Bombyx mori: one gene and its partner. The protein of the gene in region 2 interacts with the protein of the main gene of each other region in a pairwise test. Links are inferred from orthologs where the notes say so. Each region holds a gene or a part of one and is shown on either strand. Other genes may lie near its edges.

Region 1 (4,066 bases), on a different chromosome or scaffold from region 2:
ATTACTTGACGCTGGCTAATGCACAAAACGTGCCAGAGCCAAAAATAAAGAAGAAGAAGAAGAACTGCGTTTATACCATAGAGTTACTACTTATTAACTCCATGGTTTATACATATATTAAGTGTATAATCTATGGTTTATACTGTCTAATTATTTCATAAGTGGATCAAAAAAATATTGAAAACTTCAACAATAATTCAACAAAAAAATGTCGGTGAAGAGTGAAGACGGTCAATTAGTCGTTAAAGTACAATTAGCGTGGTTTTCAGTTCAGTTATTTTTAATGATACTATTCATTACCATGCAATAGGAGATAGTTAAGATACTTGTATTTTATAATAAAATTAATAATTCCTAAATTCATACTTAGTTCAAAAAATGTAAATATAATGCACACAAAATCTGTTTTTGTTGAAATGATAATTATTTATAAGTTCAAGAAATATATTGCAGGGACATTTAGTAGAAATTCATTTAATATAGAAGAATAAACTTAGTATATATACTTATACTCTATAAACAGGATTTTTTAAGAATAATTATATCTATTTGATATATATAATAATATTATAATAATGATATTAAGTATAAATGAAGCTGATTAATACGAAACATGGCATGAAATGAAATGAGATGAGATGATATGGAATGAAATATAATTTCAGTAAAATGGTGGTTATTTATTGAGACTTTTTCTGTGGACTTGTTGGAGGATCCCGAGAAGTTATGTTCAGCGGCTATATTTTATTTTCCCACATTTGTGCACTTTTACAGATATTAAACAGTTAATAAACCAGCTCTATTAAACATTTAAACCAGATTTTTTTTAAGGGATGTTATGACCTGTTAACTAAGACCTTTAAGTTATATTTTATTTTAATTTATATTCTTATTTTTATGAAAAATTATAATATGGAGTGAAATGAAATGAAGATGATTAATTTGAGAAATTAATCAACTGGGATGAAATTAAATGGAATGAGATAATATGGGATGAAATATAATCTCAGTAAAATGGTGATCATTTACTGTGGTTTGTTCAGTGGACTTTTTGGAGGAACCCATTTAAACTTGAAGAAACATTAAATAGACAAAATAAAACAAATCACACAACTTCACTCATCGCGTTCCCGCCAAAAAGTTTAGGTATAGTACCTTTAGGCCAAATATTAAGCCTAAGTAGGATGATGATCATAGTCATAGACTAACTTAATGTGTAGTGTAGTATTGCTCGTATATATTAAGTGTATAATCTATGTATATTAAGTGTATAATCTATGTAGTATTGTGTAGTTGTGTTACGTTGTGTAGGACTCGGAAAAAAATATATACACAAATTTATTTATGTGATTTAATTAATTTAAAAATTTTAAGAGCTTACTAAGTACTGTGTAACATTTTAGTAATGATAAAATCTTAAATATCACATATTTATATAAGGATAAAATGAACTGTCTTGTGTAACCTGAAAATATGTTATTATTTTGGTCATAGATTTGTTGAGACGTACACCACTGACCAACTTGTTTAATTTTGAATAATTTAAATACTCCAGCTGCATATATTTCGGGTTCAAAATGATGGCTGGAAAAGGTAAGAAAGAATGAAATAATTTTATTTAACAGTTTGTTATTTCATGATAAATTAATAATCTTTAATTTAATTGCAGTAATGCCAGAAACTGAAGAGCAGAATCGAATAAGATTTCAAGTGGAACTTGAATTTGTGCAGTGCTTAGCAAATCCAAATTACATTCACTGTAAGTTGCCTTTTTGGTTTTTGTTGTTAGACTTCACACTCACCTGGTATACAATGATTACTAGAGTACATAGACATCATAATGTAAATGTTGCCACTTGAACTTATGCAGGCTAATGCTGCTCACTGCATACATACACTTATGGAAACTTATAATGATAACTTAATGTGATGACTGATCTGAAGCTATCAAGTTGGTCATCAAATCATCACAAGAGGGAAATAAGTAATAAATTGTTAGGTATTTTTCATACCGGTTTAATGATTTTGTTATTGTGACTTAGTTTCTAATCGTCTATTTTGTGATTAAATGTTTTTCTGCCCAGTGTTTTTAAATGTTATGTGTAATGGATGTCAATTATGTCAACTCTGTCTATTTACAGTTTTGGCACAGCGAGGTTATCTTAAAGAACAAACTTTTGTAAACTATCTTAAATATTTGCAATATTGGAGAGAGCCAGAATATGCTAGATATTTGAAGTATCCCATGTGTTTGCATTTTTTGGAGTTATTACAACATGAAGCATTTAGAAGAGAATGTGTATCGGCACAAGTGAGTACAAATTGCACCTACTAAATTATTTTCCATATAATCTTTGCTTGAGCGGTAGATAATGCCATAGGTTTTAAGTCCGCTGATAAACATTCTTCTTCTTCTTCTCTGTCGTTTCCTCATTGCTGAGGGTCGTGACCACCTTGGTCCAGTTTTTGAAGTAGTGTTTATATGAAGGTTTGTTGTGGCCTGAAGGCTTATCGCTCAGGCTGACCTGACGCATTCATATCAAGCGATACAAAGGTGTTCAGATCCTGCAGGCAGGTTCCAATTATTATAATGAGATACATACTAAACAAATGTTCACTATTGACTTCCACAGTTAAGGAATAACACCATCTAGTAAAAGAATCAAACTTGCGAAATTATAATTTGTGTAGTTACTGGTTGTAGGATGTCTTGTGAGTCCGCAGGGGTAGGTACCTCTACCCTGCCTATTTCTACAGTGAAGTAGTAATGTGTTTCGGTTTGATGGGTGGGGCAGCCATTGTATTTTTTTTTGTTTAGGCATTTACTTTGTACATGTCTATGGGCTCAGGTAACAACTTAACACTACTTGGCCTTTTTTTTTTCTGATATAGTTTTATGATTTATAGGTTTCACAGTATGATGTTTATGGGCTTAAAACCAAAACAGAGCTTGACTTACAAATCAACAGTAAAAAAAATATGCAAATGAAATTGAGCTAGTTTGAATGTAAGAATATAAATTTGGTAATTGTTAATGACCACGTACAAGTTACTGCAAAAGTCATATTATTATAATTTATTGGCTTTTATTTACCACCTCATTAGTAGCTGTGCTTTATTCTTGTACTCTACCAAATATAAAATTTATGACTGTGCCAAACTGGCCCTTGACCAAATACCGCTTTTAATTTTATCCGATAGCAGTATAATTTGTATGTATTACAATTTTTAAATAAAGCCTGTGTTTAGATCACTCTGATGGATAGGTACTGTTCAAAATATCTTCATTAATGAATGATTAATATTTTCCTTAAGGTTTGCAAATTCATGGACGATCAAGCAATATTGCTATGGCAACATTATACTCGTCGGCGTACACGCACGTTACAACCGCCGGACGCACCGGCGCTTCCTGCGCCGCCCGCACCGCCACAACAAGGTCCACCAAGACAACAAACTTAGGATGTTCATGATTGTTGTTTTAGAAGTGAGTGGAAAATAAAATAAACTTTTTATAAATCTATACTTAATAAATAAATCTACAGTGGTTTTTATGGATGTTCCGTTATAACTACTGAACCATGCATCCGATTGACTTGAACTTGTTATCCATGTAGAAAATACATGTACATAATGGATAGGCTAATTATATGAGTGTTGGACTCCCTACACCAGTTGCGGGGGCGTTAATGATGTGAATCTTTGTGGGGGTGAGAAATAATAATGTTAATTTTAAATGCCCAGTGAAGCGGACGGGTACAGATAGTAGTGTATAATAATGTTAAAAAAATATTGGGCATGTCCTCTAGTAGGATGTCCCACCGGGGGACAAAGATCTCCCTCTAAATTATCTAAATGGGTGTTAATGAAACCTCTTTGTTATGTTATAAAAATAATTTGGCTGATATTAAAATATTTGTTCTGTGTAGTAGTAAAATATACGTAGTCTTACTCATAAAAAATATATTTAATTACTTGAAATGGGCACTGAACGTTTTTCAAAACGAATTTTATTTGATTGAACATAAACAAATCCTTTGTATAATAACCGGCAAACTTCTTGAGC
Region 2 (4,007 bases):
GTGCCTCAGGTACCTCAAGTACCTAAAAGCACCGTTAATGAATCAAGTTTCTAACATAACCTTTGAAATATTAGTTAGGAAATAATAATACATCTCATGTTATCTTAAATAAAAAATCCAAAGGGTCTTAAAATATAAAAACTTATTTGTAATCACTTGAGAAACATGAAAGTTTATTTTCATTTTAAACATTGTACTTGAATACCCAAAATTTAGCAAAAACCATGCTATAAAACAAAAATAGCTAACATTTTACGACAATCACAAGTCACTGTACCCGTTAGTTACGAGAAAAATAGCTATCTTTTTAAAATAATTACAAGTCACTGTCACCGGCTACAACACTAGCTTTCTGCCGATAAAATGTTAATTAAACAATTAATTAACCAATTATTTCCACCATAAAAATACTGAGTGATAAAACAAAAATGATTCTTTTTGCGTTAAAAAAAATAACTCACAACAAGACATGACTTCCAAAATTAAATTCACAACACAACAAACAACTAGCCTATAGAATAACCGAACGACTAGTGAATGAACTGTGAACTAAAACAAACACAATAATATCTGACGTTCACTTTCCTGTACCTACTTCTTTGCATATCAGTCAATAAAATCATAAAATCACAAACCACAAAATAAGTTAAACGACTTTAAACTCAATCGTTAAGATCAGAACGTTCATATTTGATTAAAGTATATTAAAACCGAACGTAGCGGATACTGTGTATACATGACAAGAAAATAAACATTACGGGTGATAATAAAATATGTTCCTATATCATTTTCGTTTTAAAGTGTGAAAACCAATTTTTAAAGTTTTTAATTATTATTGGCGTACGAGTTAAAAATGAACAGACATAAATATATTGATGGCGGTTTTAAAAATTACAGTTTGTTTTAAACCTCTAGTTTTAAAAGTATATACTTAGTTCATGTTCTTTGTCTCTGCTGATTTATTTATTCATTTATCTTATTTTATTGCCCGGCCCCCTGCCCACCTGATGGTGAGTGAGTGCCATTGCCCATGGACTTCAGCACGTATCCCTGTTTCTTTAACATTTTTATTTTTATTTTTATTGCAATCGCATTTTTTAATTGCATAAATCAATGAACTGGCTCCTTGGTGTTAGATGATTAACTGCACCCATATACGTTACAACCTACATGCTCAAACGCAATTTAAGATAGATGAGTGCTTCTCGGCAAAAATACGTGGTCTTCGATCTTATATTATCTCATTGCGGGTATTCACATGACATGTGTGGGTTCGGGTAATCGGTAGCGAAGCTAGTGCATCACACTGTTAAATGATAAGCAGAGGTCATAGACATCATAAAATAGCGTGATTACGCCCACTTTGATATGTTATGTAAAAGTCATATCTTTTCATTAATTCCATCTATGTTTTGACGCAGAAAGAAATGATATCCCGGAATTCACCCGTACATTAAGCTCTAGCAGATGAAAAATTATGAGACAACAGGGGTTCGGAGGGTTCAGGTAGTTCTACTCGCATCCTTCACCCGTTAAATATAAGCTGCAGATGTAGTAGCAGTAGCTAGAGGTGGCTTAGGTCACGTACATACCCGGATCCCGTGATAAATATCCGGATAGACTTTAAGCACTGTAGGATTTTCCGACCTAAAACAAATCGCATCCAAAAAGAATTACTATCGAAATATAAACGAACATTGAGATTGACCAATTTACTAACAGCGTGTTCCAGAGATTTAATAACTTAATAACAATACCTAAAAGCTACATTCAAGTAACATCGTTTATATAAATGTAATTAATTCACGTACATTAAGGCTACGTGTGAAACTCGTTAATCACGGTATACCTACGTGTGCAGAATACGCCTTGACAAAAACAAATTGCAATCTTTACCTTAACGTAAAGTAAGAGCAATATCAGAAAACGTTCTCTCGTTAATACTAGGCGGGCGGGCGAATACGACACAATAATACTGTGACAAGGAAATAAGACTGACATATGGGACTTACGTGCTCCGCGGACTAAAATCGACTGCATTCGTTACACTTTAAGAAGATGCTACATAAAATACTTTTATTGTCAGTTTAAAAAAATAATGTTCTTCTTAAACGTATTATTATACACAAAACTGTTTATCGTATAAACTATTTTAGATAAATGTTTATTGGTGTGATAAATATTTTCTTCTTGTTTTGCGTTTATGTGAGTGCGCGTCTTTCATAATACGCTTCAGGCTCGCGTGCTGATGAAACTCGTGCCGTATTGAAATGTGCCTGCTTATGTTCTTGAATAGGATGTGCCACAACGCTTTGTCCTTGTTCTTCCACAATAAATCCGCAGTCTTCTCCTCGATCCTCCGTATATTTTCCTCCAGTCTCCTGGCTTTTATTTCCATTTGTATGAGCGAACGGGTCGTATTTGTCAAAAGGCGGTACAGGTATTCTTTTCTTCGTGTTTTAGTCGGCTCCGTTGCGTTCGCATTTATCATAGACTCGTATTCGATGTCCTCGGGCTCCTGAATTTCGTGCGGATTCGTGAGCTGCGATTGTTTGCTTCTTTTCCGGAGAAATACTCCCGTTAGGAACACAGCAACCACGAAACTGAATAACATGAAAAGTTTTCCGTGACTGTACGGCGGTCTCGTTGTAATATTCATCTCCGAGCGATTTTGATCTCATAGTTTAGCTGTATTGTATCGAGATAGCATTGTTTGTTTGTTTTACGATTCAAACAACGAGTCACGTGGCTTAGCGGAGCGCGAGCGGCGCCCTCTCGCGTCCTAGCCGAAAGCGACACTGAGTGAAAACACACCGCCCCACGTCGGCGTTCGCACCCTACGAATTTCCCAAATGACTTTTCGTCTTGGATGCGGGAACGGGTTCTTTATTTGGATGTGACAATCAAACAACGCCAACATGTTTAATAAGGTTGTCGTATAATTGAAAAAAAAAGTGTATTGATTATAATATTAGTAGATATATTATTTATGTAATGTTAAAGGTATGTTAAAAGTTAAAATGTGTATTCATCATACGTTCCATTACTTGGCCGTCGAGAGATGTTACTTCTTTTGTTTAACTGATGAAATAGATTACATCAATTGGCAAAATTGCTAATTAAGCCAACCACTATGCGAAAATTAGTAACATAGTAACGTCTCATGAATGTATCAAAAAAGTTCCGAGCATCCAAAATTCCCACCTTTGTCCACTTCAACAATACTCAAATTAAAACACTGTTTAAGGTAAAGGACAATGTGTTTACTTTTCATTCAAACGAGGAATATACGTAGCAATCTTTTCCAAAAAACAAGTTTAGATTTTTCATAATAAAAAATTACAAAGGGAAATAAACTCAAAGTCACCTTTTAAAAAGGAAAAATTCAGGAGGCAACTCTTTAGAATTGTTTGTCACATAAATATTATTAGCGCCATTTTATTTAAGACTCATTTACGTTGTTGACGCTGAAGACCTGATTAAGACGTCATAAAATTATTCAAAAATGTTATTATAACATTTTCCTGGAGCTTTATACATTTTCAGTGATTACTTTTACATCCAATTCTTAAAACTGTAGTACAATTGTTGGCTCTTTGTTTTTGTCACAGCATTATCGACTTACCTTTGCTTTTTTATTTTTTTTTATTGCTTATATGAGTGGACGTGCTCACAGCCCACCTGGTTGTTAAGTGGTTACTGGAGCCCATAGACATCTACAACGTAAATGCGCCACCCACCTTGAGATATAAGTTCTAAGGTCTCAGTATAGTTACAACGGCTGCCCCACCCTTCAAACCGAAACGCATTACTGCTTCACGGCAGAAATAGGCAGGGTGGTGATACCTACCCTTGCGGACTCAAAAGAGGTCCTACCATCAGTAACTTGTTTTTTGTGCTTAACACTATATAAAAGGAACCTATGAAAAATCTGAATCGTGCTATCAACAATTTTAAGTGTTCCGTTTGTATAACTACCCAATAACAACGTTCCTATGTGTGGTCTA

The links.
Region 1: the proteins of methanethiol oxidase (region 2) and mediator of RNA polymerase II transcription subunit 31 interact in a two-hybrid assay, tested with the Homo sapiens proteins (2 studies listed by BioGRID and IntAct). The link is inferred for Bombyx mori from reciprocal best matches to the Homo sapiens genes SELENBP1 and MED31.

Annotation. Positions count from the first base shown.
Region 1 is NC_085122.1:5,746,493-5,750,558, reverse strand, and holds the start of mediator of RNA polymerase II transcription subunit 31, read left to right. Parts: upstream 1-1,266; 5' UTR 1,267-1,577; coding exon 1,578-1,593; intron 1,594-1,669; coding exon 1,670-1,759; intron 1,760-2,141; coding exon 2,142-2,311; intron 2,312-3,315; coding exon 3,316-3,462; 3' UTR 3,463-3,487; exon of another isoform or gene 3,488-4,066. UniProt on the Homo sapiens protein: Component of the Mediator complex, a coactivator involved in the regulated transcription of nearly all RNA polymerase II-dependent genes.
Region 2 is NC_085117.1:13,958,651-13,962,657, reverse strand, and holds the start of methanethiol oxidase, read right to left. Parts: upstream 2,801-4,007; 5' UTR 2,041-2,800; coding exon 2,013-2,040; intron 587-2,012; exon of another isoform or gene 472-586; coding exon of another isoform or gene 462-471; intron 1-461. UniProt on the Homo sapiens protein: Catalyzes the oxidation of methanethiol, an organosulfur compound known to be produced in substantial amounts by gut bacteria. Selenium-binding protein which may be involved in the sensing of reactive xenobiotics in the cytoplasm.